Linked DNA regions of Kluyveromyces lactis. The protein of the gene in region 6 binds, or shares a complex with, the protein of the main gene of each other region. Links are inferred from orthologs where the notes say so. Each region holds a gene or a part of one and is shown on either strand. Other genes may lie near its edges. The genes, in order: NIC96, GLE1, ASM4, NDC1, NUP82, NUP49 and POM34.

The links.
Region 1: NUP49 (region 6) and NIC96 share a complex: the UniProt entries of both Saccharomyces cerevisiae proteins name them as parts of the nuclear pore complex. The link is inferred for Kluyveromyces lactis from reciprocal best matches to the Saccharomyces cerevisiae genes NUP49 and NIC96.
Region 2: NUP49 (region 6) and GLE1 share a complex: the UniProt entries of both Saccharomyces cerevisiae proteins name them as parts of the nuclear pore complex. The link is inferred for Kluyveromyces lactis from reciprocal best matches to the Saccharomyces cerevisiae genes NUP49 and GLE1.
Region 3: NUP49 (region 6) and ASM4 share a complex: the UniProt entries of both Saccharomyces cerevisiae proteins name them as parts of the nuclear pore complex. The link is inferred for Kluyveromyces lactis from reciprocal best matches to the Saccharomyces cerevisiae genes NUP49 and ASM4.
Region 4: NUP49 (region 6) and NDC1 share a complex: the UniProt entries of both Saccharomyces cerevisiae proteins name them as parts of the nuclear pore complex. The link is inferred for Kluyveromyces lactis from reciprocal best matches to the Saccharomyces cerevisiae genes NUP49 and NDC1.
Region 5: NUP49 (region 6) and NUP82 share a complex: the UniProt entries of both Saccharomyces cerevisiae proteins name them as parts of the nuclear pore complex. The link is inferred for Kluyveromyces lactis from reciprocal best matches to the Saccharomyces cerevisiae genes NUP49 and NUP82.
Region 7: NUP49 (region 6) and POM34 share a complex: the UniProt entries of both Saccharomyces cerevisiae proteins name them as parts of the nuclear pore complex. The link is inferred for Kluyveromyces lactis from reciprocal best matches to the Saccharomyces cerevisiae genes NUP49 and POM34.

The regions. Positions count from the first base shown.
Region 1 is NC_006041.1:1,253,996-1,258,121, forward strand, and holds NIC96 (linker nucleoporin NIC96), read right to left. Parts: upstream 2,801-4,126; coding exon 218-2,800; downstream 1-217. Other genes in the region: PDH1 (putative 2-methylcitrate dehydratase), read right to left, coding at 3,309-4,126. UniProt on the Saccharomyces cerevisiae protein: Functions as a component of the nuclear pore complex (NPC).
Region 2 is NC_006039.1:1,325,351-1,328,641, reverse strand, and holds GLE1 (nucleoporin GLE1), read left to right. Parts: upstream 1-1,156; coding exon 1,157-2,791; downstream 2,792-3,291. Other genes in the region: MRPL7 (mitochondrial 54S ribosomal protein uL5m), read right to left, coding at 1-716; FMN1 (riboflavin kinase), read left to right, coding at 3,171-3,291. UniProt on the Saccharomyces cerevisiae protein: Functions as a component of the nuclear pore complex (NPC).
Region 3 is NC_006042.1:687,782-690,765, reverse strand, and holds ASM4 (FG-nucleoporin ASM4), read left to right. Parts: upstream 1-1,239; coding exon 1,240-2,484; downstream 2,485-2,984. Other genes in the region: LUC7 (Luc7p), read left to right, coding at 210-980; NUR1 (Nur1p), read right to left, coding at 2,594-2,984. UniProt on the Saccharomyces cerevisiae protein: Functions as a component of the nuclear pore complex (NPC).
Region 4 is NC_006038.1:139,184-142,820, reverse strand, and holds NDC1 (Ndc1p), read left to right. Parts: upstream 1-1,316; coding exon 1,317-3,137; downstream 3,138-3,637. Other genes in the region: recombinase RAD52, read right to left, coding at 1-408. UniProt on the Saccharomyces cerevisiae protein: Functions as a component of the nuclear pore complex (NPC) and the spindle pole body (SPB), probably by playing a key role in de novo assembly and insertion of both structures in the nuclear envelope.
Region 5 is NC_006042.1:156,109-160,088, reverse strand, and holds NUP82 (linker nucleoporin NUP82), read left to right. Parts: upstream 1-1,416; coding exon 1,417-3,480; downstream 3,481-3,980. Other genes in the region: mannose-ethanolamine phosphotransferase LAS21, read left to right, coding at 1-620; MRPL37 (mitochondrial 54S ribosomal protein mL54), read left to right, coding at 826-1,122; SDH8 (Sdh8p), read right to left, coding at 3,627-3,980. UniProt on the Saccharomyces cerevisiae protein: Functions as a component of the nuclear pore complex (NPC).
Region 6 is NC_006042.1:2,088,976-2,092,003, reverse strand, and holds NUP49 (FG-nucleoporin NUP49), read left to right. Parts: upstream 1-1,310; coding exon 1,311-2,528; downstream 2,529-3,028. Other genes in the region: chromatin-binding exonuclease XRN1, read right to left, coding at 1-769. UniProt on the Saccharomyces cerevisiae protein: Functions as a component of the nuclear pore complex (NPC).
Region 7 is NC_006042.1:1,442,398-1,445,242, forward strand, and holds POM34 (Pom34p), read left to right. Parts: upstream 1-1,157; coding exon 1,158-2,345; downstream 2,346-2,845. Other genes in the region: PSR1 (phosphatase), read right to left, coding at 1-407; MEU1 (S-methyl-5-thioadenosine phosphorylase), read right to left, coding at 2,491-2,845. UniProt on the Saccharomyces cerevisiae protein: Functions as a component of the nuclear pore complex (NPC).

The DNA.
Region 1 (4,126 bases), on a different chromosome or scaffold from region 6:
TTCTTGTACATTTCGTTGCATCTTCTACTCACTACAACAATGCACTGCTGAAAAGGTAATTGGCAGTTCAAATGTATATATATACATATGCATATATAATCTATCAGGCAATTATATCGAATAACAATCGACTTACACATGGTTATTTTATTGTATGCTATTATGGTAGGACGTCTGGGTTCTGACATAACTCAGGTGCTCATAAATGAGAGCTCTGCTACAAACCAACTTCTATATTGATTAATATGCTGTAAGTTTCTCTTGGCATTTTGTATTGAATCATACCAGCATAAATCATACAATTTTTAGCAACACGTTTGAGAGAATCGATTTGCTGCTTTTTAGTCAAAGATTGGTAATCACTTTCGTTCAACTGCTTTATGATGTTAGAAATGCATAGCATTGTAATTATCAACAGGTTAGGTATGTTCTTTAATATATTCTCATCCAAATGTGTAAATTCTTGTGCTCTTTTTCTGGTCGAGCTTTCATCCGTGAACGGAATTAAATCGAGATCTTCAATCTGTTGTAGGGTGTTTTGCCATTGGCGTGCTAGGAATGATGCTCTTATATCAGCTAGTTTCAACAAGACAATACATGTTTCTTTGTTTCTTGCCTGAACCTTTTTAGAGATTTCGATGTTGTTGATGTACACTTCGATTAACTTCTTTGCCATTAAGACGTAATTCGTTTCGCTGTTGTCATTCAACCTAAAGAGGGATTGATTGAGGTCAGTGCTACTTAGAAGTTCTCCCAATAACTTGTTGATAATGGACATAACAATGTCATATTCTTCTGATAACTGGTACAACAACAAACTATCATGAATTCTTCTTTCTTCATCAGCCCTACGAGCAGCCTGTTCGGTAATCTTATACAAAAAGTCCTTCTGGTCCTCAAGCTGTAATAATGGGCGTCTTTCTTCAACTACACCGGGGATCCTAATTCCTTCAGAGTTGATCTTTCCGAGAAGTATGGTGAACTCTTTAGTTTCCAAGATCAATTCCCTGAGTGCCTCATACGCCCATTCAATCTGCTCTTTCTCATTCACTAGTGCGATGAGAATTAGATATTCGACAGCTATTCTTGGATCAGAGTACTTGAACGACTTTGTGTAATTTCCTAATACCTTAACAAAGTTTATCCTTGTTTGGCCATCATTCACGGAGATCAACTCATCCTTTTTATAAGATGACACATGTAACATGCCATTTGCCGCTAGACCAATTGCCAAGTGAACAGCATCGATTTCATTTATTTTGTATGAGTACTGTACTGCTAGTTCATATTGTCCGCTTAACAAAAGGGCCTGTAGATAATAGTTTTTAAACATGTACTCACCGTAAGAGACAACAGTATGTTGGAAATCGCTGAGGGTATACCTTTCATATACTGGATCATCCATATCCATATCATCTTTGATTAACATCAAGTGAATCCATAACCAATCTTCCACGCTTAGAGTAATAGAAGAGATATTCTTCCTTGTCAAATCACATCTGCCAATAATTTTGTAGACCGCCAAACGGAACGGATCGCTGTCCAAAGTGTTTTTGATATGCTGGTTATATTCTGTATGCAACCTTGAGACAAATTCCTGTGGAAGACGATGATCAGGAGACGTTACATAAGCTTTGAAGTATGTTAGGAAAGATTGCTCCACTTTTTTGAAACTCAATTTGTTGTTAACAACTACTTCTAGCGCGTCCTGCGGTAAACCAGCCCTTAGCAAATAAAAAATCAAGGCCCATACGGGAATTCCATTCACAATCGTAAGATTGTTAAATTTCCAAGTATTTTCACCAGTCTTCAGTTTGAGGTCAATAAATGCTCTAATTTTGTTAACATTGGTCGGTAAACCTTCGCTTGGATTCTTTGAATACAAATTGTCAACATAGCTCAAGAACTGGTTTTCTAGGTATTTTTTGGAAAACTCAACAATATTTGGGGATTGATTTGTTGCATTATCTATAATCTCCCAACCGTCAAGTAGCTGTCTATACTTCGAGTCGGTCGTATTCTGAAAGATGGCAATGAACTCTTTGGTTAATTGAAAATCGTCATTATGTGATTGTCTTGAATTGTTAAACCTGTAAATAATTTTGGCATATTTCTCAAACTTTTCTCTAAGGATGTGATTTCCATTGACATTTGAATTTAAATCACCATCCAAGATACCACTACCAGGTGGTTTCCCCCAAAATATTGGACCGTTGGGATCCAAAGGAGCCAAATTAGTCGTATCGTAGTTAGAACTATCCTGACGTTTCTTGACTAGGATCCCAAAGCTTTCTCTTACTTCATCTTTCCTTTGCTTCCAATCTAGGTTGAAGTTCTGATTAATGAAATTATCAAAATCCTTCGCTGCTAAAGACAATGATTGTTCAATGGAGGAAAGGATATTCTCATCCTTCTTAATATGTAAATAAGTGTCCAAATCACCATCGTTATAGCCTTGTGCAACCCGTTGTTCGGTTAACAACTCTGATGACTTAAGATTCTTCAAGGAACTCTCAATTTCGTGAAATTCAAGTCCACTTCCTGCTAAGAGATAATGAGCTTTTGTATGATTGGAATCGTGAGGAATTGTCTTACGCATCTCCTGTGCCCTCTTTTTCATCTCATTGACACTCAATAAGATAGCTCCAAGGTCAGATGAAGTAGAAGGTAAGTTCTTTGACGTTTCTAAAAGCTCATTGAATAATTTCGATGAGCTCTTAGACGTGGAGCCACTAGTCTTTGCATCGTTTTGAAATGCAGATAGCATTGTATCACTGCTGATTTGACTGTTGATATTCATAGTTCCACGATTGTGTGGATTTTACAATTCCAAAATCTGAACGGGTTAAAGATAATTTGATGCGATGGATAGCAACAATGTGTATTGATTTTCAAAGTATCTTCAATGAATTATTTCCATCATCTATTCAACGTATTGATAGTTTACATTTTCTTTTATTGTTTTCTGTCTAATTTTTTTTAACTACAATGTTTTGCACCGTTACCCGAACATGTGACGGGACAAAAAAATGGACAGCCAGAAATTGATCATGACAGTAATTAATATTAAAACATAAGTATGTATGTATTAACTCAAGAGAAAATAAGTTAATTATATATTGTAATCTGGAATTGATGATTGCCAGAATCTTTTGATTCCTGTGGTCAGTTTTTGTAGAATAGAAAATGTTGTTTTGGTTACCATTGAAATGTAGGTTTTACTTCGTTTAGTTCAAAAAAAGAGTTGAATGAAATGAAAAATTGATTGTGGTCGTTATACGTTGATGATGCTGTGCGAAGGACAAAGCTTAATCGCAGTACATGTTGACATATTCATCAACAGTTAAGTTTAAGAAACCGTCATCTGTACTTGCTTCCATTAAAGCTTCCACCTTTTCAATATCGCCGGCGAAATGTTCACGCAAATGGTGGTAGAATTTCTGCATCAATAGTGGGACACCTTCCTTTCTTCTTAGTCTGTGACCGATTGGATATTCTACGACCACTTCATCTAAGACAGTCCCATCATTCAATTCTACTAACAAAGCGTTTGGGATTGATCTCTTTGATGGATCATGATAATCCAAAGTGAATTGGTCATCTTTAGTACAATACATCTTAGCTCTCAATTCGTCAATTTCAGGGTTGCTTGCTACTTCATCACTGTAATCGTCAGCCGTTAGTCTACCGTAAATTAATGGAATAGCAGTCATGTATTGAATACAATGATCTCTGTCAGCATAATTGTACAATGGACCCTCCTTGTCAATAATTCTCACAGCGGCTTCTTGAGTTCTAATTCTGACCTTTTTAATGTCTTTGTAAGTTTTGCCCAACTCTGCCAACTGTTTATTCACCTTAATAGCTGCTTCCACTGCCGTTTGAGCATGGAATTCTGCTGGGAACGATATCTTGAAAAGAACGTTTTCCATCACATAAGAACCGAAAGTGTCCCTTTGCTGGAAGGTGAATGGTTTACCTTTGAAAAGAACGTCATAAAAACCCCATGTCTTAGCGGTTAGTACGGAAGGAATTGTACCTGGACTTCCATTCTTCACCAAATATGCAATGTTGACAGCTCTTGCCACTGCGTCACCGGCAGCCCAAGATTTCCTGGAACCAGTAT
Region 2 (3,291 bases), on a different chromosome or scaffold from region 6:
CTGACTTCATCGCTGGTCATACCAAATGATAACCCACCAAATCTGTTACCTGACTTGTTGGAGATACCTTTGTATTCTCTGATTCTTGGTAGTACAATTTCAGTCAAAGTGGATAAGAACTGAGACATTGGACGACCTTTCAATGTAATGACAGCACCCATTTGGGTACCTCTTCTGACCTTCCAGGCCGGAACATCATTCCTAGAGAACAAAGCCTTTGGTTTACACCCGGTAATTTGTTGCAATTGTAATGCTGCTGAAATTGGTAGATATTGGTTCTCTTTTGCATCTCTGACGTAACAGTTAATAACAACGGACTCGATGTCTGGAATGTTCTTCCACGTTACTGGATGAATATCTGGCAATTGAGCACTTGAGCCCTTAGGTTTTCTGGGTTCTCTGTTAATGTGATATGGAGAAGAACCGTCCCATTCTCTTTGCTTCAACCCGAGCTTCGTTTGGCTTTTGTGGGAATAATTTATCAATAATAAATCGCTTTGTAAAGTATTATAATAATGCTCACGAACACGGTCTTGATGTGTAACAACAGGCTTGAATGCTGGAGATCTAATATCGTTTTTACTATATTTCAATTCAGGAAACCTTGGGGATAGCTTGCTCTTGTCGATCTTAACCAAATGATGCACTGGCTTAACCAAAGCACAAGCAGCTTTGGAGACCTTTGAACTACTGTGGAAACCACGTACCACTTGCATTATCACTTGGTATCTTCTCACAGATGCGAACGAATGAATGTATAAACCTACGAATGGGAAGGAATACTGCTTTAAATCGAGTGAAACTGATCAAATCTCTATCATTATCTTACAGCTTTAGCTCGAAAGGTCGAAAAATTTTTAAAACTTTCAAGTACAGAGAATTCAATATACGTCACGTGACAAGAATCAACAAAAAGTGAAATTTGATTAAAAACCAGGTAGAGCTCAGTTGATGATTATAGAGAGTGTTGACCTTTCAGCCCTTGTGTTGATGCATTGCAGCCGTTTTTTTTTGATCCCGTACTTAAAGACACGTAGCTGGATTCTCCATTTAGGTAATAACAGTCGAACTTAACCCCGAATCGTTTACTTGAATTGAGCTTTTTACCGATTTGATAAAGTAAAGAAAGCGATTGACACATATCAGGACAATTGAGATGAGGTTCTCATTTGACGAATTGTACGAGAATGCTGAACGGAAACAGAGTCAGAATACCAGCAGCAGTGATTCTGACTATGAATTAGACGGGGAGTTTACGTATATTGGCGATCCATCTGATGGGATCCAGTTAAAACTACCGAAATTATACCATTCTTCAAAGAATGACGGCCAAGGTGAAGAGCAAGGGTTTAGTTCAGGAGATACAATTTCTTTAGAGGATGTGGTAGAACCAGAAATAGTTTCAATGCTTTCCAACTTAAATATCACTCTTGAAAGGAATGCACTACCGCATCTTACAACGAGAGGTCACGAGAATAAAGCTTTAGGCCCTGTTCTTATTGACGAAGCAGAACTTTATTACCAAGAGAAGAAGGATTTGATTGACGAGGTGGAACAACACACCTTTCCTATGCAAGACCAGGTGCTTGAATCTGTGTGGAATGAGGAAATTGATTCAATTGAAAAGGTGAATCAACGTTTAATTAAAAGCATAAAGGATAAAAAGAAGAGGGAAGAGGAAGCACGTATCCAGAAAGAATGCGAAGCGGAGAAGCGCAGACAAGAAGAATTGAAGCATAAAAAGGAGATGGAAAAGAAGTTGAAGGAGGAAGAGAAACGGAAGATTCAAGAAATGGCAGAAAAGGAGAAGAAAGCTGAAGAAGCGAAGAGAGTAGAAGCCCTGAAAAAGAAGCAAGAACAAGAACAACTGGAGAGGAATAAACTTAAACAGTCCAAAGAATCTACAAATTTCAAGTTAATCGAAGAAACTTTTACTAAATACAAAACCATGATTCAGACAATTAAAACAGAAATAATTGAACCGGTGAAGGCGGATCCCACCTTGAAGAAAACTTTAGCACAACATAAGAGGAAAATTAATCCAAAATTCGGACAATTAACCAACAGTACTGCACAATTGAATGCAATCACCAATGAACTTACCGAACTGGTACTTCAAACGAAGGCTAACCAATTAGCCTATAAATGGATTCTAAACTTTATAGCTAAGGCGATTGTTTCCCAAGCAGAATCTGAGGCCAGAGTGAAACCTGAAAGCGCTTTGCCTTTAGGAACACTTGCGCTAAGTCTTCTTGCATCATACCCGGAACTCAAAGAGTTCTTACTGGCGAGACTCATCAAGAAATGTCCGTTTGTTATCGGTTACACGTGCAGCATAGACACAGTCGAAGGAAGAACCAGAATGGGATGGAAACGTCAAAGTGACAACAGATGGGAAGAAGATATTTCATATGATGAAAGGATGGGTGGTATGATTACCTTGTTTGCTGTCATCACAAGATTACCTCTACCGCAAACGTACATTCAGAAACTTGTGCATCCTTTCCCAATCTCTTGGTCATGGAGAATGCTAGCTAGAATCGGCAACACTCCAAAGGATCTACTTACAAATACACACTTCGTCGTTCTTGCCTACTGGTGGGAGGCTGCGGCAGCACAATTGCTCCAAGCATACAACGTTCAGGCAACAAAACTACTTGAAGTTATTTCGATTGATTTAACTGCACTTGTTGCTGACAAAAAATTCGTTGGTGCAGCAAGACTCCGCATTATTAACGAGGAATGGCATAATACAAATCAAATATCATCATTCCCAGATATGGCAGCATAACGGCTAGAGTTTTCTCTAGTAAAATATATATATATATATATATGTATGTATACCTTCAGATCTTCGTTTTCATCATGTGTTCAGGGCATAGTATATGCCTTATGTTCTCATAAAACTTTAATAATGAGGATTCAAATATTTCCAGAGAGAGAGCGTACCTCATTGCCTAGAAATACTCCGCAACTGTTGAACAAACCATGAACCCATTTTCACGTGCCCATTTACCCTTTTCTTTCTTATTCTTACTTGCAACAGTCTTTATACTCAAAGAGTTCGAACCTTTAAAAACGTAGTTTGAATCTTGTGAATACTTCCATGTGGTTATCATACAAACGAATAACGATCGGATCATCAAAAACTCGCAGTAAGACCTAGAGCAATGACAAGGCATTGTGACGTTTCGATACCGGATTCACCTGAACCTCCTTTTCCAATTACCACATCGTTCGTCGATGTAATAGCTGGTTTCGGTCGTGGATCAGCAGAGTTAGGAATTCCTA
Region 3 (2,984 bases), about 1.4 Mb from region 6:
CATGTTTTGCTTGTGTTATTATATATTTATTTTCAGTATATTTTGTCGTCAGAATTTAAACCTGGCATTTTCAACAAGCTACTTGAAAAGGCGTACTGAAGAAGTATCATTGTTGAACTGACCAACAGAGCAGAAAAAGTTAATCACAGAGTCCAAACTGCACGCAACAGTTTGGTGTTACTTCCATCAGAGATATTTGTAAGTGAGAAATGTCTGCAATTTTAGAACAGCGCAAGCTGATTTCTCAGCTTATGTCTTCGGCTGCCACATCGCATGGGCTAACTTCACCATCAACGTGCAAATCATTTATCATTGGTCATTGCCCCTATGACCTTTTCCAAGAGACCAAGCAGCCCATGGGGCATTGTCCACGTATACATTCAGTCTCGCATAAAATGCAATATGAAAGAGATGTAAAGAAGGGCAAGAAATATCCTGAGTTTGACCTTGAGCATTACTCCATCTTGAAGAAGATTCTTAGTGATTGTGATGTTCAAATTGAAATGGCACATAAAAAGTTACAGCATCATGAGGAACATTCGAAATTAGCAGCACTTCTACAAGCAGTGAATCAGCTTGAATCCAAATGTGCTTTAATGCTTTCAGAAATCGATATGCTTATACAAAACGAAGAAGTTATGAAGGCGATGATTCAAAGCTGTAAATATAACAAACTGCAAACAGAAAGGGACACACTCAGCGAAAAATGCAGGCAAATGAACGAAAACACAGGCCAAAGTGCACAACAGAAGCTACAGGTATGCCGTGTATGTGGAGCCTACCTTTCAAGATTAGACACGGATAGAAGACTCGCTGACCATTTCATGGGCAAACTCCATCTAGGATACGTAACTATGCGTAAAGAACTTGACATGGTAAAAAAGAGATTGCACGAACAAGGGACAGATCTTCACACATATCTCCCGCAAACAAGGAGACATCAAAAAGCAGTATATAGAGGTAAATCTTATCGATCGTGAATGTATAAATTTACACATACACTGAAGCTGTTCATAATGGCAAACATTACCCGGATTTGAGTATTCTAATTGAAATAAAACAATTTCAACTAATAAACATCAAGAATAAGATTAGATGAGAATAGCTGTTATCATCGTAGCATGTTCATATGCACCGGTAACACTGTGGTTTGGTGTGTTCTTCAATTTCAAGTAGGATAAATTGATCATTTTTGACTGTTGAAACATTGTTGAGAAAGCGAACTGACAATCCTAAATCATGAGTTCAGTATTTGGCCAACAAGCGCAACAAGAGAACAGGTTTGCAAACTTGCAAATAAATTATCCTCAGCAGCAGCAGCAAAACCAACAACAGCAGAATAGTTCACAATCACTAGTACAGAGCTCTGCCACGAATGGAAAGGAAGAAAACTGGTATAATATAGCTAGAAAGAGAAACATTCCACAATCCGTGATAAAAAGATCGTCTAAACCGAGCTCATCTGGAGATGGATCTTCGAATGACAACTCTTCCCAAAGATCCGGATTCAATAGCGTCCAGTTTGGCACAAAGAAGCCAACATTCAGCTCTACGCAGCCTGCACAACCTACTGATATCGCGACTTATGTGGAATCGAATGAAGCTCCCCCAACAAAATCGTTATATGATTGGCAACGAGAGGATGAGTTCGGGTCTGTCCCCACTAACGTGAACGCAATGCCTTCGTCTAACCAAATACCTTTGACTCAAGAATACACTAAGAGCACAAGAAACGCATTCGACAGAGATGCGTCGAAATCCCCTGTAAAACCGACAGCGGATCAAACAAATGATATATCAAGACAAAAATCGCAAGAGAGCGCAGTAATTGTATTTGGATATCCAGAATCCATTTCAAACCAAATAATATTACATTTCTCAAAATTCGGAAATATTTTAGAGGACCTTGAGGTTCTAAGAGGTGTTACAGGTAACAACATATCCAGTGCTACTATTAGAATTCGTGCTCAAAATAAGGACTCTAAAATTCCTCATAAGAAATATCCTATCTTCACGGGCGATGGATGGATTAAAATCACGTATGACTCCCCTAGTGCCGCTCTGAGAGCTCTACAAGAGAATGGTACCGTTTATGGAGGTTGTTTAATTGGCTGCGTTCCTTATAGCAAAACAGCCGTAGAACAATTGGCTTCGTGCAAAATCGATAAAACTGATGACATCGGAGAAATCCCGTTCAGTTTATCGATGAAACCAAACGGACCTGAATCATCTGATATACAAAATGGGACACAAGAAAGTGCTGATAATAATAAACATGGGTTCACCTTTTCTACTCGGAAATTGGATGTCAAAGATGGAAAGCAGTTGTTTGTGCATAATGCAAACCCTCCTCATGGTGGTCCAAACTTTTTAAGAAATTTGGAGAACAAGTTACGAGAACAGGAACAGCATGGGAATAACCAACAACCAACAAATTTAATTGGAAGGGTCAACAATTGGTTATTCGGGTGGAACGACCTATAGTCTCATTGTCTTTAGTAATTAGAGATGTATTATGTTTATATAATTTACGGATACCTCAAGAAATTCCAGTGCACCAAACTTCAATGAATGTGAGTATTTGAGTGAATAACTACCGAAATGGTGAAGACGATGAATTCCGAAAGGGAGACTTTGATATACGGTTATCATCATCATCACCATCATCGTAATGTAACGTACCAGAATTGATGTCGGGAGATCGATTGAAATAGCCTTGTCTGCCTCTTCTGAAACGATCATCCATTCTGAATCTGTCATCAGACACATCGGGTATGCTATCATTTGTTTCATCCGGATAGTTTAGTAACCTATTTGCAAAGTGTTGTTTAATAGGACTATGAGAGTTTCTTCTCTCACTTATATTATGATTTCTAGATGCATTGGCCAACATGGAATGATCGAAATGAGGTTGTTGAGATGGTATTAGAAGTGGCGTGGAGGGAGCGGAAGGTGTATTACCACTTTGAAGATGAGAATAGCGA
Region 4 (3,637 bases), on a different chromosome or scaffold from region 6:
AGCGTTTCCGAACCCTCTTAACGATCTTTTCAACGCATCTGTCACTGCAGATTTCTTGGCACGCTCGAAAGCGCTGGCTTTCCTCCGTTCATTTTCCACGGTTCCATACCCAATATCCTCTCTGAACGTTCCATCGGCTAACGAAACACGAACAATAGCGGTGCATCCAATACTAAATCGACCTTGCCTTTCGTCAAGGAAATCTATAGTGACATTTTTAACCTCCGTAGACCATCCGTCATACCCAAAAATCTGGTTTGCTAGATTGATTGCTTTCCAGCCTTCGATATATGCTACTCTACTGGATCCAAATCCTACTCTCTTTGAAATATATTCTGGTCCTAGCTTCTTATCTAACTTCGTTTGAATGTCATCTTTACCATTCTTGCCACTTCCTGTATCCTCCATATCTAACAAACTGCAAAAAGGAAAATTGATGCGAGTCGCACTAATATACCAATCCACAAAATCTTCTACCAGTTAAAGACACAAGCAAGGTGGTATCCTGTCCAATTCAACAGCGCAAAATCGTTAACTGTTTGACCTAGTTTGTTTAAGTTTTAGTTTATCAATACAGTAAATTTGAAAAAAGTAAACAGAGCAGTAGCTTAAATCACGTAAACTTGAAAAAGATCTGTTTCTATCGGTATTAAAAGACGCGAGAGCCATGTAAATTGAAAGGAGTTTTGAAAGGATGGCAATGAAACTTAACATTATCATTATAGGATTGGCAGTACCTGTGCTGTCATAGAAGTACTTACATTGGTCATGAAAGTGGCGACGCAAATCATTCTAATATTTTCAGTACTCTATGAGTGACCTTGTATATATTTGTATATATCTTTTGGACAAGAATATCAACTTTTAAGCGTTAAAGTTGACACGAGACCATTGTTACAAGAAAGAGAAAGAGAATATGACACATATTTAGTTGATTTACTTATTTACATGTAACAACTGTTTACGATATCATCAGGTTCGCGTTTAGCGTCTATATGTTGAGACTGACCTCACTGACAAGGAGGTGATTGTCTTTAGTTTCGAGTTACCATGCAAATCAACTATGACATTGGCATAAGAGGGTTACCCGAATATCTAATTTTTTTATGACGCCTGATCTCTAGATCACAACCTGTTAAGAACTTAAAATGCTTGAGATGATATACAAATAAATAATATAAGTAACTCGGAAGGTAATTGATTGTCCTAAAGTCCAATTGACCTTTGTCTGTTTTAAGCATCTAAAATTACTCAGCTTATTGCTATACAGGCTGTACTTTTACCTGTGTTCATCTTTGATTGGTTTGTTTTCATTGATGTCTTACGTGCAGAGTTTAGGACCGGTTGCACCGCAACTGCGTGATTCTCGTTTTACTTACCATCGGATATTCAGTGGGGTATGCAAGAGCAGGTTTAATAATTTCGCCAGGGGTTTACTCTTCAAAACAGCGGTACTTGTCGGTTTAATTACAACCATTACGACACAATGGGAGTTGTCGAAATCTCAGAAATTACTGTTATGGCCAGTAAAAATATTATCTTTCTATGTTGCAATGTTGATGCTAATTATTACCAGGAAAAACTATCTTCATGTCAATTACCTTGGATATACGAGCTGGATAAGCGCATCATATGGCCAATTAGTCTCCCGTAAATGGATCACGTACCTTTTAGTTTACGTTGTGAGCGCATTCTTCCTTTCTTTGACATTTTCCTGTTGCTTTTTCACTCCAGGTACTGGTTCAAGAAAGCATTCACAGCATTACGAATTTTGTTGTCAGTTTATGGTACCTTTTTTGTATTCCATCCAACATGTACTTTTAGATCTTGACAGACTTACTTTCAACTACGGTGCTCAACATCAACATCCTCAGAAGTTTATGGCTTCAAGAATCCATGATTCATTTTTGAAGTGTCTTGTGTTAACTGCAATACTCTTTCTAATTACTCCAATTCTATTAAAGCTTTTATTCGGACATCTAGGCTCTGGTATATGGTCCCATATTAGGATTTGTTGTATATGCTTGTTAATCTTGCAAACATGGGACTTTACAAACATTGGCTTCGACGCCTTTCTATCAATTGGTTGCTTGCATAAAGGTAAACCAATCTCTTCGTTATCTCCAGCTTCAATGGAGACATTGATCACTGGGTTGAGATCAGAAAAATTATTTGTTAAACTTACTGCATTCCAAGAGCTGGCCTACAGAGCCACTTGTGCAAATGTGGAGTTGAGGCTCCCAATTTACCACAATACCTATAGAAATAGCTTGATCTGGCCCGGTATACTTAGAGAATGTATGATTGTTATTCAAGAAACCAACTATAACGTATCCGATTTCTTGCTTACATTGAAGAAAGAGATTGATCCCCAGCCTACAAAACCATCTTTCCCTATCAATAGATCGGTAGATCATTTATTCGGTACCAACCATACTGTCAGAAAACAAAATAATGATGAGGATTCCAGATTACCTGGTGCTCCTCCTACTGAACAAATAAATTCGGATCTACCATCAATGGCTTCACATAGAATCGTTTTAGAGGACAGCAATGTTTTCAAAAACAACGATACCCAAAGAAGTCCGAATCCTCCGAGATTTATCGACTCATACAAACAAGCAATTTTTACCAGACAACCTACAGTACTTTCTGTTTTGACTGATCTTTGGAATTGGATACAGAGAAGAATCAGTCAGTACTTTTTCACCATCGATTCAACTGATAACACGAACAAGAAGCTCTCATTGTTTGAACTTTACCATATATCAAAAGTAAGGGAAGCTGAGAAGTTGTGTCCTGTGCCAGTATGCTATGCCGAGTGTGTGTATTCGATGATGGGTTTTATAGTAAATTCTGTGGATGAAGATCCCAAAGGAGCTGTCGTATCTTCAGTCGGCGAAGTATTAAAAATTTTGGAAAGATCTATTGGCTCTTTAGGTTCGTTTACTGAATTAATATTGGATGGAAAACAAGAAAAGGATTTGAATGATGTCATAAGTGTGTTGTATGACTTATGTATCAATGCATTTTTGGAAATAGTTTTGAAGTATGACACTCTCCTTAACGATGTTTATTTGGACGAAGATGTCGTGAAGTTAACACAGTGGTTGCAAAAAATGTCACAAGATATTTAAACATAGCTTGGCATCAATTGGATTATTCCCAACAGAAGCATGTTACTCTAATAATATTCAAAAGTTATATTGCTTTCATTATAAAAGAGAAGAAATCTACCCCAAACTTCTGGTATGTTATAGGAAGATGTTACATGTACTGAACAAGCGAGCGGAGAATACTTGCTTCTTATTCCAGAAGTCGGAATTATTCATGAAATGTTTTTATTTTCCATTAACCTTCACTAGATCATAATGACCATTGAGGTTAGTATTTGAGTTACAGCAGAACTTTTGTTATAACAAACTTATTTTAGCATTACGTATGAATAAAATACAAACCAAAGCATACAAACGTTATCTTCATTTTTACAAAAAGGTCATTACGTATTTAAAAAGACTTTTTCCATCGGTTTATCAATTCATCGATCCGCACTAGCTTTTCGTGCACAATTAACGTTTCTCGCCAACCGTAAGTCTTATAAATTTAATAGCAACGTCTGTAGTATCTGCTCAAGAAG
Region 5 (3,980 bases), about 1.9 Mb from region 6:
CTACAGAATCAGATATTTCACAATGTTTAGTGCCTATCGCTCGGATTTTCTTCCAAATATGTGGTGTATCTATTATAATCCTTCTTTTCATGAAATACGCCTTGAATAAAAGCACCAATATGTTAAACAAACTACTGAGTGTTATAAAATTCGTCTTGTTGCTCCAAACTTCATCTGCAAATATCCCATTGTTTCTAATATTTGAAATACTGACTAGCGTCACACCGGACATCACACCAATTTTCTCATTATGTCTACAAAACCTCACTTTTTTCCAATTTGGTGGTACGAACTCCATTGCAACTGTCAATCTAACTAATGCATACAATGGTGTTAGTAGCAACTATAACATATACGTTGTTGGTGTATTAATGTTCTTGTCTAACTACGCACCATCCATCTACTGGGCTCTCTCACTAATTCCTCAAAGCTACAAACAGAAGACACTACGCTTGCAGCATTACTATATCACCGGAACATGTCTAATGATAGCGTGCATTGCACTAAGGTACCACCTATTCATTTGGTCCGTGTTTAGCCCGAAACTATGCTACTACGCGGCCTGGTCCCTCTATAATGTCGTCATGGATTTCGCCATTACCCTGCTTGGCGTTTTGTGAATTCTTAGTTTTTGAATGAAAAATTTCGATAAAATCAACATTTTGTACCATAGAAATTCAAATTGGACTGTAAATGATCATGAACTTTGATAGCCGCAAGGCAGGACAAACTTGCCAAAACTTATTGTTGAGGTTCGAATTGGTATCGGCAACCACATACCCACCATAACAAATCGGTTATTTTTCATATTATATAAAGAGAGAAATGTTGAGAGTGACTCGCGTGCTATTTAACCAAGTGAAAAGCGAGGCATCTGGCCAAGCTGCCAAGATCGTGTCATCATGTCCAGCTGGCACTCCATTGAACTTACAAATCAAGAAATCCGGTAAGGAACCCGTGGCATTAGAAGACAGCGAATACCCTGAATGGCTCTGGACAGTGCTTGATGCCAACGTCCAAGCTGAAAAACTAGCAGCTGATCCAATCAAGCTAAGAAAAAAACAATTAAGGATAGCCAACCGTGCCAACATCAAACAAAATAACTTCTTAGCAAAGATTTAACGGACCCACAGTATGATTCACGCCTGTAAATATATATACATATAAAAATGACATAAAGACACATATCTAACATAACTTTTTGATATCTTTCGTACACTTCCTTTTCTGCAATACTGGATCTGCTATAGGTATTTTTTTTTTTTTACTATTAAAGTTCAAAATATTCAAAATATATCGACGATGAACTACTCTCACGCTTCTTGAAATACACGTAACACAGATCAACTGGCGATCTAACTGTGGTACCTTCTCTTCCATAACTTTAACTGCCGGATATTGAACCAATATAGTGGGATGTTACTCTTCAATACAGAAGATTTGAAGGCAATCTTCCAGGAAGTGTCTCTGAACCCTTCCGACCGTCTTGTCTGCAACAATTCCAACACTATTTATTTATGGCAGGACAACATCTTAAGAGTGCAATCAGACCACGAAACGCAATACAGGAGTTATAATGTGGAGCTTCCATTCGTTCCAGAACAAATGGTCATCAGTCCGTCGGGGGGCCTTGTAGCATTTCATGCGAACAGCGAGCTCTATGTCATGGAAGTGAATGAGCAATCTAGATTAAGAAAGCATTTCAATACCAGTCTAGGGATAAAAAAACTATTATGGCATCCTCTGGCTACTTATGGGTTATCTTTCGTTATTTTGCATGATGATAGTACAATTCGAATTTATGATCTTGAAGACCTAGAACCCGAATCTATCACTGTTTTCAATCGTAAATCGAGATCATTTGGGTTATCAGACCATGTGGAATCAGTTTGTGACATTGCATTTGATCCAACCGGTTTGACACTTTATCTGCTGAGCTCCTTCAATTACTGTGACATATATGCTATCCATCCGTGTCTACCAAAGAATTTTTCCCTACGCAGTAATGATACATCAAATGTCACATCAAGGACGAAAAATGGTTCTTTAGCGGATTACATGTTGCACAAATCATTGTCTTTATACAATAGCCTCGATAAACAGCTAAAGCTGATATCAGGTTCAGATCCTGATGTGGAATCCGATTACCTCACCTTAAAGCATGATCTATTGAAACAAATTCAATTTTTCGACAACTATAAAAAAAATGATGGTATAGACACATTCACGAGCAAAGCAATCAGGAACTCTGTACCACAGGGCCCGTTCATTATAAAAAAATTTCCGACAGCTTTGAATGCGAAAGAGGTCACAGGCTTGACAATCATACCGGTTGGAGAACGTTTGGGCCTTTTGAATCTTCAATTTATAGATGGAACAAACGTTGTGTTGTTCTCCGATTCTGAAATTGTCATGAGTTGGAGTTTACGCTCCAATACTACATTCAATAACCTTAGTGTAATAACAATGTTCAATGCAAAAGGTCAATGCCAACTACTAAACTCCTCGGAACCTAAATTAGTATTTACTGGTGATAGCTCCACGACTATCATGGAAATGCCATGGTTGGAACCATTGGCACAGTGCATAAGGCTTCATGACTTCTCTATCATTGATGATGTTAAGTTTGAAAATAAAATAAGAACAGTTTCAGGAACTTTCCTCGGTGTTTTATCTACCTTGTCTGGTGATATTCTTTACAACGGCAATTCCTTCAAGGTCATCGAGAGTAACGACAAGAGCACCACACAGAAACCCATAAACAGAACCGATGAAGTGAAATATACATATAAACCATCGTTGCCAACGTCTGGAAAGGAATTGGATATGCTTTTGACGAAGTATAAAACAGAAGCCAATGGATTCATTTCAGGCATACCGGACTCTTTGGCTCCTCTCCCTTTGAAGAACAATTCCAATGAACGTCAATTGGAAGTGGTTTCTGAACTTTACAAGGAAACCATGAAGCGCGTCAAGTTGGGACAGATGATTTTATTTAGAATGTTCAACAAATCCAACGAAGAAGTGGCTGAACTCCATCGCCAATTAAGAAAAACCAACGAGATCGAAATGTTGAGAAATAAACTTAACGGAAACTTGGGAGACCTCCAAGAAAGATATTCCAGGTATGAGGAAAAGTCCAAGACGTTGGAAAAACGACTTGACAAGTTAAAAGAGACATTCTCCAGTATAGAAAATAACGAGAAATTAAGAACAAGCAGTATCAGCGAGGCCGAACTAGTGTGGTTCAAAAGTATCAAAAACCAGGTATTAAAGTTCAATAACTATGTACATCTGACAAACAAACTTCGCGAAGAACTAGAGTTTTTGGACACACAGCTTAGATCAACTACTAAAGGAGACGATTTCTTTTCCGAGCTAGAATTTAGTTCCCTACAACAAATGTTACTGAACGACAAAAAGGTCATCAATTCTTGTATGAATGAGTTAAGCGCATCCATTGAAGATCTAGCGGTATAATAGCAATCACCATCTACATATCTTTTTTTTTTCGTTTTTAGTTTTAAAACTGGCATATACCTTACTATATTATGTGCTACTTTTTATATCATTTCATTATGTGAATATGCTACTAACCGAATTTTGTTTTAACGTGTGAATGGCGCTCAAAAATCGGTGACTCTTCCGTTGAAAGAATAATCACCATGCCTTAATGGATCCTGCTTTGGTCCACCAATTTCTCCTGTTTTAGGATTCTTTTCGCCTTCGAACTCTGGTATAGTCTTCATAAATTCTGGAGAAAACCCACCAATATCGTTCTTCAAGATTGGCGATTTCACCGATTCCATAGTATGATCCGATTCAAACTGTGCATTATAAGAATCAATAGCTTCTTGAGAAGACGCTAGCTTCTGCAGCCTTTCAAACTCTTCCTGGTCTTCCTTTGGTAATGGTGGTGGACCTGCTCTTCTTTCTTGAAATGTTCTAATTTGATTCAACCTGACAAAGGCTGGTCTTAG
Region 6 (3,028 bases):
AATATTCTCTCAAGATAGACAAATGCAACAAGAAGAAGTTCTGTGTTTCTAGAGTTTTCACAGAAGACGAACGTTTACCAAAAGTAACTTCTTCTCTTAATAAACAAAAGTGGTGATCATGGGTGGATAAACCTAGGATGATCAAATCAGCATCTAACCCGTAGATACAATGTCTTGTATTTGGATTGTAATCCTCTTGTGCTCTAATTGCTCTGATGTAATCCATGATCTTATGTTCACCTTCACCAGGAACCTCATGCCCGGAGAAAATAACCTTCACGTTCTGCCATCTGGTATCGTTGGTGATCTTGTCATGGATGAAATATTTCAAATTCTCGGTTAATTTTGCCATAAATTCTGTTCCTGGGGTAATAGCGTTGGAATCAAATGGCTCTCCCTTAGGCAACTCGTCACCATTTTCAATGGCCTTCTGCAAAGCCTTTTCGGCATCCATGGCAGTTCTGAATCTACGAGCTCTTTGTTGGTTCATCTTTGCTCTTGGGGCCACACCATCGATTGCCATATAAAATGTCTGTTTTGGTTTAATAGTATGGAAAAGATGATCAATATAACTGAAAATTTTGGAATAAACTTCTTCCTCTGATAGTCTTGAATTCACCTCGCTACCATCACCATGCGTACAATTATGCAAAATAGAATTCATATCCAAGTACAAATTGTCGAACTCTGGAATCTGTGATCCATCGATCAATTGAGAAATTTGAGGCCATCTCTCAGAGATGAAATGAAAGAATTTTGGAATACCCATTTTTAGTTAAGCCACAAACCGTAATTAATTGAACACTTTCTGAGGTTTGCTTTACTGACTTTTTTCCTCCAACAATAGAAAAGATCAACAACAACTGGGATTGGATAGTACCAGTAGTATACGTTGCCGAACAATGAGTAACCACTTTTAGTGAATTGTTATAATATACCCTGATATGGATGAAAGACCCTGAAAGTACATTAACCAAAGCTACTGTTTAGTAACATAATCGTTAAGGTAATTTGGTAATTCTTTCCAATGTTCAATCGGAATATTTTTCTTGGTGGTGGCAAAATTTTTTGAGACGAGGTTTATGGGTTACCCGGATCCATAAGTTCAAGCTTTTTTTTCTTGTTTTATACTCTTTGATGGAAGAGTTGAAAACATTTTGAATATGGAAACTGAGAAAGTAAACAGATGAGGTTAAAAAGAAAGATGGAGAGAGCAGAATTGAGACACCAATTGATACTGAACAGTAAGTTGAATTAACTGAATTTACGGCGTGTAAATATCTAATACTCTTATTACTGATAGAAACGAAATGTTTGGCCGTTCTTCTTCTACAGGTCCTCCAGTAGGACCAAGCACAGGAGGAGGATTATTTGGGAATACGGGCAACCAGCAAAGCACTAGCGGTGGTCTTTTTGGTAATAACAATGCCACATCAGGTAACACTGGAGGAGGGTTATTTGGAAACAATAACAATACAGCGACACAGACTGGCGGAGGATTATTTGGCAGTAATCCAGCAGGCACCAACAACAATACGAACCAAACCGCAGGAGGACTTTTCGGAAGTTCTAATAATACAGCCACTGGCTCCACAGGTGGCCTATTTGGTAACTCAGGAGCCGGGTCTGGCGGAGGCTTATTCGGGAATAAGTCAGCACAACCACAGACCACTGGTTTTGGAAGCTCTGGAACTGGAGGAGGATTATTTGGATCCAAACCAGCACAACCACAGACTACCGGTTTCGGAGGCTCTGCAACTGGTGGAGGATTGTTTGGATCCAAACCAACTACCGGAGGCCCATTCGGAAATCAACAACAGCAATCCCAACAATCTGGTTTAGGAATGTTTGGACAAACACAAAATCAATTTCAACAGCCACCACAACAACAGATACAACAGACTCAACAGAGTGCCATTAATTTCATTAACCAATTAGCTATCACGCCGATGACCAAGATATCGGAGCTTCCGATTCAAATTCGTCAAGAAATCGAACAATTGGACCAATTCATTAGAACGCAAGTGTCTTTATCCAAACATCTTGAAGCTGATCTACAAGATCAAACTGAACTATTGGATTCAATCCCTCGTGACATCAAGTATCTACAAAAATTGCATTTCAACGCAACAAGATCACTATCATCAGATTTGAAACGAATCGATGCCATCAAGACACTAGTGGATAAAGATGTTAAACAATTGGAAAATTTTGCTATAATGTTGCAACAACTAGTCAGTAAGGGATTCAAAATATCAAACGTTGAGATAGATAAGTTCTTCCAGGAAAAATTAATCACATACAAACACAAATTAAATGACTACAACGACACTCTAAGCAATATTGACGACGCAGTGTCAGGTCTAGAGAATGATCTCTTTGGGAACGATTCATCCGAAGATGATGATACCAAGGTCGGTGTTAACATTATCGTCAGCGTTCTAATCGAAGAGTTCAAACTATTCATGGATACAGCTGAAAGAATAGCAGAACTGCATCAGAAGTGTAAAGAAATAATAGTTAAATAGTCGATATTATTCTTTTAATACTATAAAAAAAGAAAGCGTTCAAGAACATATTACCTATTGATGCAGATCACTAACTCCTGCACATGCACTGCACCTGCACCGCATCTGCCACTTGTCTCTTCGCAGTCTTCTCTTCTCAGGCTCCCTTTATCTTCCCTTCCTTATTTAGGTCAATGAGTTGTGAAAAAAGGGAATTTGATACGACAAATATAAAAGGAATAAGGATTAAAAAATGGTTAACAAGGAGTAACAGTTTTCCCGGAAACGAAAATGTGAAACAAAGAACAAAGGAAAGGCGTCCTGGTTTTGTGATTATACTCAAGAAATATATATAGGACTGATAAGAATTTTAGAACGTTGCTGGCAACTAACTATCATTATTGGAATATCAGAGACATATTAAGTGTGACATTTTAGTATTAATTCTGTCAGTATAAACTTATTGTAGATCAAGCTTCAGGCGTAAAATCAAGGAGCTAGGAGATTTTTTTTTTGATTAA
Region 7 (2,845 bases), about 650 kb from region 6:
TCGTCATCTTCCTCTCCAACCATGTCAACGTCAACGACATCACTATCAGTATCGTTATTACTAACAGCAGCCGTATTCTTCGACAGCGGACTCTTCTCAACAGGCGCACTTGCAACAGCCGCTACAGTTGAGCTATGCTTGTTCGCCGCATTTTTCTTTTTCAGATGCATCTTGGCTGTAGAATTGGATAACGTAGTATGAATTTCTGATTGTCTTGAATGAGTCGCAGCAACCCCTGGACGTCCACTCTTCTTTGCACTTAGCGTATTCTTGCTCTTACTTTTCTCCGAGCTTGACCCACTAGAACCTTTATTACTATTGTTACTTGACGATGAATTCCTACCCTTCTGTTTCCTAGAGCTATCCGAATCGCTTGAACCACACAATAAAGATGCAATGAATCCCATCACTTTTATTCCTAACAAAATCAACAGCGACCTATAAATAAATCGAGACACTGAGCGAGTGAGAGAAACCAAAAATCACACACTGAGCCCAAAAAAAATGGATAACCGATATTAATCAGATTGGTTTTTCAAACGGATTGATACTGTTATTAATATATGTTCTTTCTTTCTATCTAAGCAAAGAAAGATAGCAAACAAAAAAAACCTAAATACACAAACCAATCAGGCTCCCTGAAACCACTGGCCCCTTGATATAGTACCCGTACACTGACAAATCCCGGTACTTTTCAAGACTTTACTGCCCTTCTGTAAATGGCCTCCAAAAAAAATTAAGTTGCAGTTAAAATAAGAGAGTTAGTCAATGACCAATGTTCTATTCTCAAAATTGTTTAATCTGCAAAAGTTGACTGTTTCTGGTTTTTCCATGCTGAACAGAACATCAAAACTTAAAGAACGAACCAAACGAAGCAAAAAGAATTTTTTCTTTTCCCTGGCACAAGATGGTGCGGGTAACGAGATGTTTTTCACTTGAAAGAGATAGAGGCCGGCTTGAAGATTCACTTCTTAGTTTAACTACTAAAAACACAGCTAGTTCTTCAATGTTAATAAATAAGAATCGTTCAGTTTTTACCTGGATACGGTAAGTTTCATATCCTGATATTAGTGGTGTTTTTACTGTGGTAATTGATCGAGAGTTTACCCCGTAAATACAGGGATCAAGATATATAAAGGAAAAAGGTGAGAGTAGCAATGGATAATGGAATTTCTGCGCCTGGCACACCGGCCAAGACTTTTCAGACTCCCAATAGGCCTTTGAGCCAGCAGCAATTTCAATCCTTAAGGGAAAAAGCTATCAAACAGTCGCCTGCATTGTATAAACACAAGGTATTGAGTGATCCTACCAGCAAGACTGATGTTTCCAAGTCAGATTCTTCCTCTGTGTTTGCTGCATCTGCGTTCTCTGGCAGATTTGACGCGAAACCTTCAGCATCAACTAATACACATACCGCATCCCCTGTTTTTCGAGGAAAAAGTAACCAGGCATATTCTACACAGCAAGATACCGCACCAGTGACAAATTCTGATCTGCTACCGGACGAACCGGTGGGACAGAAACAACAAACGGATTTGAACTTTTCCGAAGATTCCGCATATGATAAATTGACTGATTTCGAAAACCCGGCGTTGGCTGCTTTCACATCTCGTATGGTTAATAAAGAGTTGGAGATGAGAAGGTTGTTGACTAATGTAGTGTTGGCAATGATTTGGAATCTCATATACAAATTCGTGTCATTATTCTTCCAATTCACTAAAAGGGGATCCCAACTTCGAGACGAACTGTATCTTTTCGTATTGAAAAACGTTGTTTATAAGATTAACCCACATGCCAACATCAATTCATTTTGGTTCCAAATGCTTTCTTGGCAATTTGCAACCAGTATATTCCATACTATTGTCATTTTTAACATTGCATCGTGTCTTTGGAACTTGCTGATAAAAGCACAAAATACGGACATATCAGATTTGCATCTAACCGAGAATCAAAAACGCTTGTTAGGGGTTGTGGAAAGCACCCCCGACTATGGTAGATCCTTTGATCCTTCAATTAATATAGGTAACTCTAAAGTGAAATCCTTAAATGAAGCAGAATCAAAATCCAGCCACAAGCCTTTCATATTCAAATCTTTACAGACTCCAATGAAAATGCGTGAGTTGAATACCCTTCAGCAAGCAGAAGTGAAAAAAAATCATGTATCTTTCTCTTTACAACCGAAGAAAGTAAACGCCTTTGGTGTCGATCACATAACAAATGTCTCCAATACTCCTACAACTTTATTCACATCGACACGCTCACAGCCAGACACTCGTCCCGGATATATTCCAAGCAACCGGTATACTTATATGATGGACTCACCAAGTGCGATGAAGAAGCGCTGAAAAGCATGCGTACTTCGGAGAACGATTCTTTTTCTTCTTCTTTTGGTTTCGAACCTCTGATAGCAGTTATGATAAGAATGTTATTACTTACATGGCTACCTACCGCGTATAGTTTATAAAGTTTATAGAAGAGAAATTTACAGCGTTACCAATGGTTTGGGAATAGAAACTTTAGCTTGGCCAAGGCATCTTGAGACATGGCTTCAGGTTTTGTTGAAATGGAGTACTTCATGGCATCCTTTAGACCATCACCGTTGTTCATAAATTCAGGAAGTTGCTTTGCCATTTCTAAAATGACCCGGGATGCCAAATGGTTAGCATTTTTGGCATTGTTCTGTAAATTACGGATAACAGTTTGTACAGACACTGGTTCTTCTTCGTCTCTCCATGCATCATAATCGGTAGACATACAAACCATCTGGTATAGAATTTCACATTCACGAGCCAATTTCGCTTCAGGGATCACACTCATGTTGATGACATCTCCACCCATCAGACGG